3 linked regions of the Sus scrofa genome follow. The protein of the gene in region 1 interacts with the protein of each later gene in a pairwise test. Links are inferred from orthologs where the notes say so. Each region holds a gene or a part of one and is shown in the gene's direction. Other genes may lie near its edges.

The links.
Region 2: the proteins of JUNB (region 1) and BATF2 interact in binary tests that used the Homo sapiens proteins (3 or more experiments, as listed by UniProt). The link is inferred for Sus scrofa from reciprocal best matches to the Homo sapiens genes JUNB and BATF2.
Region 3: the proteins of JUNB (region 1) and BATF interact in binary tests that used the Homo sapiens proteins (3 or more experiments, as listed by UniProt). The link is inferred for Sus scrofa from reciprocal best matches to the Homo sapiens genes JUNB and BATF.

What each region holds. Positions count from the first base shown.
Region 1 is NC_010444.4:66,216,631-66,221,045, reverse strand, and holds the start of JUNB (transcription factor jun-B), read left to right. Parts: upstream 1-1,610; 5' UTR 1,611-4,415. UniProt on the Homo sapiens protein: Transcription factor involved in regulating gene activity following the primary growth factor response. Binds to the DNA sequence 5'-TGA[GC]TCA-3'.
Region 2 is NC_010444.4:7,178,775-7,182,863, forward strand, and holds the start of BATF2 (basic leucine zipper transcriptional factor ATF-like 2), read left to right. Parts: upstream 1-1,244; 5' UTR 1,245-1,663; coding exon 1,664-1,702; intron 1,703-3,286; coding exon 3,287-3,460; intron 3,461-4,089.
Region 3 is NC_010449.5:98,668,961-98,673,055, forward strand, and holds the start of BATF (basic leucine zipper transcriptional factor ATF-like), read left to right. Parts: upstream 1-1,250; 5' UTR 1,251-1,460; coding exon 1,461-1,523; intron 1,524-3,817; coding exon 3,818-3,922; intron 3,923-4,095. UniProt on the Homo sapiens protein: AP-1 family transcription factor that controls the differentiation of lineage-specific cells in the immune system: specifically mediates the differentiation of T-helper 17 cells (Th17), follicular T-helper cells (TfH), CD8(+) dendritic cells and class-switch recombination (CSR) in B-cells.

The sequences.
Region 1 (4,415 bases):
TGGCATGCATGCATGTGTGTACACCACACACACACACCCCAGCCACAGAGCCCACAGACACACATGGGCCAGCCACAGACCCCACACTCACACACACACCTCAAACAGGCAAGCCCTAAACCTCACATACACAGACACACACCAGACACAAACAGGTTAGCCATATGAACTCCAAAACAACCTATACTTGTGCATCTAGGCCAGCCACATGCAACCTATTCCATAGATCATACACACACACAAACACACACACCTTCCCCCCCTCACCCCCACCCAAACCAGACAGGCCCTACACACCCCTGTGGGGCTGGGCCAACAAACAGACACATACCCTGAGAAGATGCCTCACACACACTATCACAGGCCCTGACAGGCCAGCCACACACAAACCCACAGCCAACCAGACACACATGCGCCCTTGGACCTTGCTTAGGTGCTGTGAGGCTCTGGGCTTCCCAGCCCATATCTCTAACCCCACCCAGAAATCCTGGTGCTTCCTCTCTCCAACATTGTCACCCCCCACACTGTTTGTCACTTCCCCTAGGAGGCCCAGTTCAACAGCCTCAGGCTTTCATAGGGTGTGGGCCTATTTTCTCAGCACATCCCCTGAAAATGAGGTACCCAGGATCTCAGCCAGGCTCAGGCCCCCCAAGACTTCACCAGCAGCATGGAGGGGGGGTGACAGAAACAGCTTTGTGGGAAACTCCCCTCGTGCCCAGCTGAGTCAGCCTGAGGAGACAAACTCTCCTCTCCTTCCTGCTTCCAAGAAAACTGAGCAGCTTCCTCTCCAGGAGAGGGGTGAGGGACCCCCCAAACCACAGAGATTGGGTAGGGAAGCTGCTGGCAAGCCAGGGTTCCTGGGGGGAGGGCCTCCGTGATTCTCAGCCTTTTCCTGCCAGCTGCCTGTCCACACCCAGGGGCAGGGACGAGGGAGTCTGGGTGCTGTGACTTGCGGGTTCTCGCCCTGGCCTGCCCACTGGCTGACTCACCAGCAGCCCCCAGCCCAGTTTTCTATTAAGGGCCCTGCCAGCCAGTGGAGCCGGCTGTGTGTGTGGGGGGGGGGGTGGGGGGGTGTCACCAGGCTATTTATAAGAAGGAGAAGTCCCTCCTGCCAAGGCCAAAAGCCCCAGAGAGACCTGTGGGTGGGGGTGGGAGAACTTCCTCCTTATCCAGTCCCCTAGGCCCCCGGGCCCTGGGCATGAGGGAAGCCTGGACACAGACTCCTTGGGCAGATGCTGGTCTGGAACCCAGGGCCTGGGCAGTCCCCAGCTGCTAGTCTGGGCACCCAGGGCTGATGGAGGAGGGGGCTCTCCTCTCTGGGCCAGCCTTGGCGCCAGTGGGACGGCGTGAGGGGGTGGTGCCCAGGCCACAAGGGTGAGACTGGCAGGGGCCTGGAACCGGCTGTACCAGCTCAGCTGGGCCCCCGCCCTCCCTCACTGGCCCATCCCCACCCCCTGCTCAAACACCCGTGCAGAGTGCAGAGAGTGACCCGACCCCACTCCAACATGCCGGCCTGCCCCCAAACACACTAGCACCCCTCTGCCCTGTGCCCAACCCTGTTTGTCTAAAGGATAAAGGAGACCTTTTTTTTTTCTCTTTCTTTTTCGGGACCCAGGTGTGGCATATGGACGTTCCCAGGCTAGGGGTCGAATCAGAGCTACAACTGCCGGCCGGCCTACACCACAGTCACAGCGATGCCGGCTCCGAGCCACTTCTGCGACCTACGCTACAGCACAGGGCAACTCTGGACATCCTCATGGATACTAGTCGGGTTCTTTTCTGCTAAGTCTCTATAGGAATTCCAGGAGACTCTTCTTGAAAGGGCCTGCAGAACTTGACAAACAGCTGGCACTGCATAAATGCCTCTCTAGTTGTGATTATCCACACAAAAAGAGCTGAAATTCTGGAGTCAGACATCTCAAGTTCTAGATCAATTCCAGTGCTTATAGCTATGTGACATGGGGCAAAGTTCCTTACCTTTCTGTTCCTAAGTTTTTTAGTCTGTTAAATGGGGATACAAAGAGCATGCATTTCGCTGGATTGTTGGAAACAGGCAATGAGTTATTCCATGTAAACCACTTAGAAGAGTGCCTGGCCCATGGTAAGAGCCATATAAGTGTTAGCTATTAAAATAATAATTATTATTTCTCAGTCTGTTGGCCTGTCTCAAGAGTCTCTGAGTTTGCATGACTCTAATCTTGCATCTCTCCCTGCCCTGACCCCCACCCCCATACATCCACTTTTCCTTGCTCAGGCCTTGCCCTCCATCTCTACGCTCATGGGCCAGTCTTGCCTCTCTCCAAGGCTCCCCTGGCACAGCCAGCTTCAGCACTGGTCAGGGATGACTCACTGTGTACTCCTAGCCTGTGGGACCTGCAGGTTAGCCTCCTGAGATGCTGCCCTCCAACCAGACCTGCCCAGCCCCCCAACACTACCCCGTTGCGCCCCCGCAGGGCCCAGCCAGATGTCAGCTGCAGTTATTAGCATGGGCGGGAGACACAGGCCTGGCAGCATGCCTGCCAGACTCAGCGGCCACTGGAATCTCCCTTGAGCCTGGGGAGGGGGAGGGGAGCAGTTCAAGCAAAGGAGGAGGGGAGGGGGTACCCAGAGGTCACAAGGACCCTCCAAAGATGGGGACACCCCCAGCTTCTCATGGGACCTTCCTCCCCAACACCACCACCGGCTCTGCTGGACTTCCCCCTGCCCCCACATAGCTCAGTTTCTCTTTCGCCTCTTTCGTTTTCCTTCTCTCCTCCACACTTGGTGAGCTGTGTCTGCCCTACAAAGGCTGGCTATCTCCTCTCCCTCAGCCTAAGTCTACCCTAAAGAAACTTCCATGTTTCCAAAAGATAGACATGTCTCTTTCAAGACAGAGAGGAGACAGATACTGAGAGGCTCATCTCTGGTTCTAGTGGCTCATAGCCTACCTCCTGGAAGTCCCACCTTAAGTATAACTAAAGCCTCAGCATCTAAACCTTCACCCATTTTGGGGAAGAGGCTCTGGAGAGGTTCCCTCAGATTCGACTCATGGATTTTCAGGTCCTCTCTGTCAGCAGGGGAAGGGAGCCCTCAGATGAGGGAGTGTGGATCCCCCTTTGGGTATTCTGGATGGTGAGGAGACCCTCACACTAAAATAGGAGTAGGGCCTCTCACCCACGTGAGTGAAGGAGGAAGCACCCCAGCCCCTAGGGATGTATTTGGGGAAGGACCCCAGATCTCCTGGCAGAAAGTAAGGGCACCCAGCATGAGGTAGGAGGCCGTCGTGCCCGCCCGCCCAGGCGCCGGGGTCGCCCAGAGGCATTGGCGCGCCCCTTCTGCGCCCATCGGGCCGGGGGCGAAGTCCGACCCAGGCCCGCGGGCAGGCGCGGACCTGCCAGGCTGGGTCGGGCTGGGCAGGGCCTGGCAGGACGCGGCCCCAGAGCGGCTGGGTGGGGCTGGGCCAGGAGGCCGTGGGGGCCCCGGGGGCGGCGGTCGGGGCTGGTCGGGACTAGCCGTCTGGGGGCCCGGGCGCGCCCTGGGACCTGGCAGATACTCGGGCTCCCGGCTCCTGGCCGGGGGCCCCGGGACAGTGCTGACCCCACCCCTTCCTGTGCCCTTATATGGGCGTCAGAGAGAGACTCCGGGGGCCGCCCCGCCCCCAGTCCTGCCTGCGGACTCCGGCCTGTTGCCTTGGCGACCAGGCCCCGCTCCCCGGCGCGTCCCCCTCCGTCCGGCTAATGGAACCGTCCCCGGATTGCTAGCCTTTACGACACTAGGGCTGAACCACTGCAGGGGTGGGGGTCGATGACTGGGGACCTCTGCGGTTGGGTGTGTTCCGCTCGCTCTGACTTCCTCGGGGGTCGCAAGCCCAGGTTCCTCTTCCGAGGCGCAGGACCCGGCTGGACCCAGGGCGGGGCATATGGTCCCGTAGGATTCGAGTGACGGAGGCAGGGCCCGGCTCCTTCCCCCGGGGCTGTTGCCACACTTCCTGCCGCGGCGCTCTTTCCCCAGCCTGTTTCTAAGGAAGAGTGGGGTTGGGCGACCGCGCCCCGGCCGTCAGGCTGGGTCCAGGCACCAGGAGTCTTCACGGTGTCGGTCAAGCCGAGGATCACTGGGGGAGGGCTTTGGGGGTGGGGAGAGAGTATACTGGAACTTAGAGGTCACTCACGAGAGGGGGCGCCCATCATGGAAGATCTAGCAGTCCAGGTATCCTGGATCCTCAAAGACCCTTCCTCCCATGTTTCAGCCAGGGCCCCTCCCTTAGTGTCATCCCAGCTCCGAGGGGGTGCCCCGACCCTTCTAATTCTTTTTCATCGGGGCTTCGCAGTTGACCCCAATGACCCCTAGCCTCTGACAACGTCCCAGTCTTCTACCCCACATATTTTCCTTGACTCAGTGTACCCCAGAACCCTCACTTTTTCTGCTTATCTGGGTCC
Region 2 (4,089 bases), about 59 Mb from region 1:
GTCCCCTTCGGTCCATCTCCACCTCCAGCCCCGCCCCTGTGTCACCACTCTCTGACTTTTGTGTCTCTCATTCCCATGCATATTTTTATACTTTTTTTTTTTTTTTTGTCTTTTTGCTATTTCTTGGGCTGCTCCCGTGGCATATGGAGATTCCCAGGCTAGGGGTCTAATCGGAGCCATAGCCACCAGCCTTCACCGGGGCCACAGCAACGCGTGATCCGAACCGCGTCTGCAACCTGCACCACAGCTCATGGCAACGCCTGATCGTCAACCCACTGAGCAAGGGCAGGGACCGAACCCACAACCTCATGGTTCCTAGTTGGATTCGTTAACCACTGCGCCACAACGGGAACTCCATATTTTTATACTTTTATTACATAATTCCGTATCCACATTATCCAGCCTTTCAGAAATTATGTTGCTCAGATCCTGTTGCAGCTTGTCATTTTCATGCCATTGGATGTTACGAACTTTTAGGCATGAGGCTAAGTGCAGCTTTGGCTCTTTCACCGTATCATAATTGTGAATATTTGTTGAGCCCTTATTCTGCACCAGGCATGGTTTCCGGTACCTTACCTGCCTTAACAATTTTGTTGTGCCTTACCTAACCTTCACAACAAAATATTTTACAGATTTGGAAACAGAGGCATAGAAAGGCGAAAGTCTATACCCTTGGAAACTGTGCTCTTAGCCGCTAGACACCACCCTCTCTACTGCTGTGGGGTCTGTGGTATGAAAATACAGTCGTTTATCCATCTGTTCTCCTGTTTAAGGGCCATTGCTTTTTCTTTTTTCACTTTTTGGGGCTGCATCTGCAGCATATGGAGGTTCCCAGGCTAGGGGTCCAATCAGAGCTACAGCTGCTGGCCTGGGCCACAGCCGCAGCAACGCAGGATCCGTGCTGCATCTGCAAACCTACACCACAGCTCACGGCAATGCCAGATCCTTAACCCACTGAGCAGAGGCCAGGGATCGAACCCGCAATCTCATGGTTCCTGGTCGGATTCATTTCCACTGCGCCACAATGGGAACTCCAAGGGCCATTGCTTATTTTTGCAGACGCACCTCCACACTGGTCTCACCAGGTTTGAGGGTGGTTGTATTATCTTGCTTAAGTTCCTGCCTGTAAATAAATATCTATATCATCTCCCTTTATAGATGAGGAAATTATGGCTCAGAAAGGGTAAGTCACTTTCCCAAAGCTGCACAGCTCCAAAATGCCAGAGGTGGGCTGTGAACCTGGGTTCCTGCAATTGTAGAGCCCAGGGGTTTGCCCATATCCCATGTGACCCTCGGTCCCCCCTTGGCTTCTCCTCTCGGCTCTGTCCCTGGCAGCCTGCTCTCCCTCTTCCAGAACACCTTCCCCGCACCTGGCCTTCAGGCCCCCTCCTCTGGCCACCCTCCACCGTCCTCCTCCCAGAGAAGGGGCCCAACCGGAAGGCCAGTTCATGTTAGGAAATTCCAGCCACGTGAGCCAAGCCAAGCCCGGGATTCTGAGCAGCCGGTGGCTTTAGGAGAAACTGAAACTTGGCTCGCTGGGGGCGGGGTGGCCACTGGGGATTTAAAGAGCTGCCACTTCCTTGGGCCCCCAGAGGGCACGGGGAGGTCACAGCAGCCGAGGGCCACCCTGAACCGGGTGTGAGCCTCTGTTTTCCCTCCAAACATGCACCTCTGCAGAGGCGACGAGCTGCTGACTGGGATGGTGAGTACAGGGGACGGGATTCAGGAGAGGAGAAGGGGAATAGGCCCCAGGGCGCCCGGTGCCAGTTTGGTTCACATGGGCTCACCCCCGCCCCCCGACCCTGCCGGCCTCAGTTTCCTCGGAGCATCCTTGGAATGAGGGTTTACCTGCTCTCCCATTGCAGATCCAGCCTCCAGTCCAGAGCCCGGCCTCTGGTTACTGCTCTCTCCTAACCTACCTGTTCTTTCATTGCCATAATGGGAGACTTCTCTGGCCATGGTTCTGGTGGAGGCCTTGCCCCTCTCCCGGGACCCAGGTACCAGAGTCCCACCTGCTTCTCTCACTGCAGGTCTTTCCCCGGGGTTCCTGTCTTTTGGCCCCAGCACCTGGAAGGGATCTGCTGTGGCCATGAACCTGGAAGCAGAGTCCTCAGCCAGGGAGGCCAGGGTCTTGCCTGAGATTTCTGCACTCAGAACTTGCAGAAATCAGAGTGATCTGTGGGAGGGGGGTTGGGCTGTGGGGTCCCCAGCGTTTCCTCTTGTCTGACCTTCCAGAACCCTGGGTGTTTGGGTCAAATATTTCATCTAAGCTTCATGAACCCCAGTGTAGGGGGACGGTCATGGCTGTGAACCTCTGAGGCCACAGTTCTGTCAGAAGGGACTCCATTCATTCATTCATTAAAGGCTACTTGTCCTACTAGAATGCGAGCAACTTGGGGCAGGAATTTTTTTTCTCTGTGGTTTGCTGCTCTGTCCCCATAGCTCAGTGCATGGCACCTAGTAGGTGCTCAAAAAATATTTGTTGGATAAATGAACTTCAGTTGTGGGCCTGAGCTGGCCACGGGCACTTGGAACCCAATCAGAATGCAGACCTGCTCTCACAGACGAAGCTCAAGGCTAGAGAAATCAACACCTTGACTGTGGAAATAATAGCTATTGGAACAACGGCCGCCTTGTATTAACCCTGGTCCGTGGGCTGGCCTTGGGCTGTCTGCCTTACGACGCTTGAGGAAGGTACTGGTCTTCCCTTGTGCAGATGAGGCAGCTGGACACAGGGAAGGCCTGCCCAGGGCAACAGGGCTGATAAAGAGAGTGTGGGTGTGAGTTCCTGTGGTGGCTCATTGGTTAACGAACCTGACTTGTATCCATGAGGACCTGGGTTTGATCCCTGGCCTTGCTCAGTGGGTTAAGGATCCAGCATTGCCAGGAGCTGTGGTGTAGGTCACAGACGTGGCTTGGATTCCAAGTGGCTGTGGCTGTAGCTCCAATTGGACCCCTAGCCTGGGACCCTCCATGTGCCATGGGTGCGGCCCTAAAAAGAAAAAAAAAAAAAAAGAGTGTGGGTGTGAAGTCAGTTCTGTCTGGGTTTGAATCCCAGACTCTCATCTTGTGCTGCCCCAACGTGAGCTGTGAGTAGGACATGTGGGTGACTGGGACTCCACCCAGGGGTGCTGTGTGTGCGATGGGGTGTGTGGACACCGAGGGAGCCAGAGATGGCTTCTGGGAGAAAGGGGACCCTCAGGGACTTAACTCAAGAAGGGTGTATGGCTTTACAGCCCGCCAGCCCCTGTAGGGACCCCTGAGCCCTCTGCCTCTCACCTTACAGGACTCTGAGGAGCATCAGAGACAGCTGAAGAAGAAACAGAAGAACCGGGTGGCCGCCCAGAGAAGCCGGCAGAAGCACACGAACAAAGCGGATGCCTTGCACCAGGTGGGGATGCTTCCCTTCCCATCCCTGACGTCACGTGCCTGGCCCGGCCACCTCTTCTCCATCCGGCCTGTGAGCAGTTCCACCTCCGCTGCTGTGTGTGCCGGGGGTGGGGCAGGGGGGCTGCAGCTGTGATTTGGAAATTCCTGAGTGTTGAGTGGAAGCCGTGCTCCAGATACACACTGGGCTCCAGGGGCACAGCAGGGCATCCTCAGCCTGGGCCTGCCCTCGAGGCAGTCTCCCATCTAGGGGGAGGAAAAGGGAAGGAGGGGCAAACAGGGAGAATCCCGTGGGGACCAGCTGGGGAGCTCGTTAAAATGCAGACCCCTGGAGTTCCCGTTGTGGCGCAGTGGTTAACGAATCCGACTAGGAACCATGAGGTTGCGGGTTCGGTCCCTGCCCTTGCTCAGTGGGTTAACGATCCGGCGTTGCCGTGAGCTGTGGTGTAGGTTGCAGACGCGGCTCGGATCCCGCGTTGCTGTGGCTCTGGTGTAGGCCGGTGGCTACAGCTCCGATTCGACCCCTAGCCTGGGAACCTCCATATGCCGTGGGAGCGGCCCAAGAAATAGCAACAACAACAACAACAAAAAAAAGACAAAAATGCAGACCCCTGATCCCTCCCCACCCACCTGAGGAGGCTGGAATGGGGTCTGGGGGCTACACTGTGATGACCACTCTGCCCGTCGGGGTTCTGATGTGGT
Region 3 (4,095 bases), on another chromosome or scaffold:
TCCTTAGGACAATAGTGTCTTAGGGCAGAAATTCAGCCAGTGGACACAACATCCCTTATGGGCCATATTTTCTGCCCGTCAGGACCAAGGAAGGTAAGTATTGAGTTTTGAGCCATGCTGGGAATAAGGCAAGGCATTTTTTTTTAAAAAAAAAAAGCCAGGATGGCCAGGTGTGTGTGAGAGACTGCTCACTGAGAACTCTACAAACGTGCCCCTGACAGGCGAGTAAAGTAACACCACAATGAACAGCTGACTTCATGGTATTTTACAGTCTTCTGGGGCCTTCTAATCCATGGGTTTATTTGCTTTTCGAAACAGCCCTCAGAGGGAGGCAGGACAGGTTTTATAATCCTCCATTCACAGACAGAGACACTGAGGGGCACAGAGTTCAAGTGAGCCACCCAAAGCCACAGACACATTACGTGGTAGAGGCAGGAGTCAAATCTTGGTTATTTTGACTCCAAGTACAGTGCTCATTTCACTGTATTTTTTGTTTGTTCCTTTTGCCTTTTTTTTTTTTTTAACTGTTTTTCCATTCTGGACTCTGGCCTTGTGACCTTCTTGAATCATTAAGATCTCAGGCCAATCCCGAGCCCCTGTAAGACCTTCAATATAGGAGGTGTCTTTTTTCTAAAGAGAGCACCTGCCAAGAGGCACAGGTGATGAGTAAACGTTTAGAGCATCAATTCCAGGCCATCCCCTCTGGCTTTCAGACCCACCACAGCCTCTTCTGTCTGATAGTCAGGAAGGGACCGTGGCCTTGGGCCCCTTTGCCCCCAGTCCACTCCAGGGCAGGCTGGACCACAGGGCGAGAGAGGAAGGCCTGGCACAGGGCAGAACCAGCAGCTGCTTTCAGGGAACAACAGAAAGAAATCCCAGCCCCGCTGCTTTATTTTGATTTAAAAATCAAGTCTGGTGACAATGGAAACTCTTTCCCTGCTGTCCTCTCCTTTCTGCCTGTGTTGACAGAAGACGGACTTGCTAATTCTGGCTGGGGTTTTTCCCTCCCAGGGCTGTTTTTCTCTTTTATCTTCATCAATTGAAGAGAGCTATTCTGCCTTTCAAACTGTCGGAAGGTATCTGGGGTTTTGTGTATTTTTTTTTTCTTTCTTTCACATAATTCTGTGGGTCTTTTCCCAGATATGTATTTTCTCTCAAATTGACTTCTAACTTGTTTAAGTTTCCGCCCATGTGACTTCCAGCGCGAGTTACCAGAAACCACAAGAGAGAGAGAGGGCGCGAGCCCCAAAGCAAGCGACATGTCCCTGTGGGGAGCAGAGCCTCTGCACCCCAGAGTGAGGAGGACGCCGGGGTCAGAGGTGGCTGCAAGGCGGGCAGAGGAGGGCCCTGCGAAGGGGGGTGGGCTCGTGGCCCCGAAGCAATCAGGAAGGGAGGCCGGCTGGTGACAGGAGAGCCCGGAGGCCCGTGGGGCTGCGTGGACAGCCCGGAAGATCACAGCCATGCCTCACAGCTCCGACAGCAGCGACTCCAGCTTCAGCCGCTCTCCACCCCCCAGCAAACAGGTAGGGTCCTGCCTCCCGCTCCTCCTCCCCTCCGATTCTCCCCGGAGGACAGAGGGAGAGGCGAGGGGATGGCTGGTGGCAGGAGCACTCTCTGAGACTTAAGACACGGAGATCTGCCCTGAAGCTGTGCATCTCATCTCGGCAGAGACCCTCGTCCTTCTGCCTCTCCTGCCAAATGATGCCCCCCCTCCCCGCCCCGTTCCCCCGCCAAAGCCCATCGCCTCCACCTCGCTAGCTTCCCAGCCCATGAAGCTTTCTAGGAAGCCAGGAGGAAGAGAATGAGCGCCAAAGACCTGGCCTCTCAGAAGAGTCTACCTCTCTCCAAGGCAGTAGCAGAGTGAGAGGAGGAGCGTTAAACGCGGGCTGCGGGGCGCGCACACCGCGAATGCTAGATGGTTGCCTGGGAGACAGCCTGCAGGGTGAGAGAGGAAGGGATCGGGAAAAGGAACAAGAAAGAAAAGCGATTCCCACCCCTCCTCCCCTCCACCTCCAGGAGGAGGGCGGCCCCCCGAACCAGCACAGAAGGATCTATCTTTTCCACCCTGCACGGCACCTGTTGCTAGCGCAGGCGGCAGAGAGGGCGCCAGGGGAGGGGGAGGAAATGAATCAAGAGATGCTTCAGGGCACTTGGAGCCGTTCCCTGGTAGCTCAGCTCAGCTCTGGGGAAAGCAGAGAGATGAAGGTGGAGATTCCGGGAGCGTCTGGAGTCTAGATGGCAACTTCTAACTCAGAAGTTTTCAGCTTGGAATTTGCCAAAGAACCAGGGCGTCCTGGCTTCCCGGTTGCTCCTGGGGCTTTCTGTTCACCACATTCCTTGACAGTCCTCCCTAGAGGAAGCCCTCTTCTTTCCCATCCAATACATCAGTGGAGTATAATTTCTTCTCTGACTTTGTGGTTTGAAAACTGCATTCTTTCCTTAGCACAGATATCCAAGAGAGCTTTCAAAATGCTGCAGCCTGAATAAAAGTATATGAACATATACTGCAGCTTCTGTCATCAATATCTTGAGAAGCCACCTGCAGGAAGGAGTCCTAGTGGAGACCTCTAGAGGACAAGCGATCCAGTCCTCTGCTCTAGATGCTATCAGAGCTGTTCAGACTGCCTGGAAGTCTATGCTCTTCTTAGGAAGGAAATTACTCATGGCTTCCATGGTAACCTGGTTCCCCATCCCCCTTAGAGGAAGAGCACTTCCTTCCTATCTACCCAATGCCCTCCAACTGCAATGGCCTGGAAGTACTGGGCCTATTGGTGAGACATATGCTTGGTGGGCAGAGTCTTGCCCTAGCAGTGCCGCTCTGGTCTTGGGGAACGTGAGCGGGGATGGGGCAGGAGGTGCAGAAGTTTCACACAGACCCCTACACTTATCCTGCAGCATCTGGGAGAAAGCCAGAGCTAACCTCTCTGCCCAAGCAAAGCACATGCCCCTCTATGGGGTGCACTTAGAAAACACCCAAAGGTCCCCTTGTCCTCCTAAACACCCATCCGCTACCTGCCACGGCCAGGTAATCTCCACCAGCAAAGCTGTTCATGGCCTCCAGTTTGTACCAGGCACTGTGCTCAGCGCCATGGGCGATATCGGGGTCCCTGGACATAATGGAGGGGATTCGGAGAAAGAAGAGGCAGATCTAGGATGGGGACCTCAGCCCAGGGATGCAGCAGAAGACACATGATGTACAAATCAGCGAGATGGTGGTAGCTGGAGTTGCGGGGGGTGGCTTGGACAGGCCTCAGACTCAGCATTGGAGGCTCTAACTACCAGATGACTGTGAACTCTTGGGCAAGCTCTTTGAGCCTCAGTCTCCGGCACATATAAGATGGAAATAATCATATCAACTTCACAGAATTGGGGGATTGAACAAGAGCACCTTTGAGCAAACACACTTGCCCTGAAGCTGGCACATAGTAAGTACTCAACAAAGTTTTGGGGGAAAAAAATAGCAAAAGGGTTCTAGGCCAAAAGTGAGAGGGTAAGGGTGGAGCAGCCCTGAAGAGGAGAGGTGATAAAACACACTTCATCGCCTTAACCATCTCTCTCCAAATAGCCCTATAGAGGTGTCAAACTCTTTTGCCCTCTTCCTGTAAGTTTTGGCCAAAAAAGTTATAGAGACTTAAGAGAGTGTAACAGAGTGTGGGGAAGCATTCTCTCTGGGGTTCACCCTTTTGGTAAATAAATAGTGCGCAAAGATAGAGGAAGAGATGGAAGGGAGAATGGCCAGAGAGCAAGCCCTGTGAGATCCTGCTTCAGCTCTGGAGAGAGGAGGTAACACCTAATTCTCATCGTCTCTGCTTCCCAGGACTCATCCGATGATGTGAGAAAAGTTCAGAGAAGGGAGAAAAATCGCATTGCTGCCCAGAAAAGCCGGCAGAGGCAGACACAGAAAGCTGACACCCTCCATCTGGTGAGTGCTCAGACCTCTCTTCCCCCTCCTGAACTGCAGGCTTTATTCCCACCACCTGTGAATGCCTGGACCATAGCTTTGAGTCTGCCTGTGTGGGGATGTATATGCGGAGCAGTAAATGGAGGGGTGAGGGCTACGGGTGAGTAGGGGAGTGGAGGCTCTCCTGGGAGCTT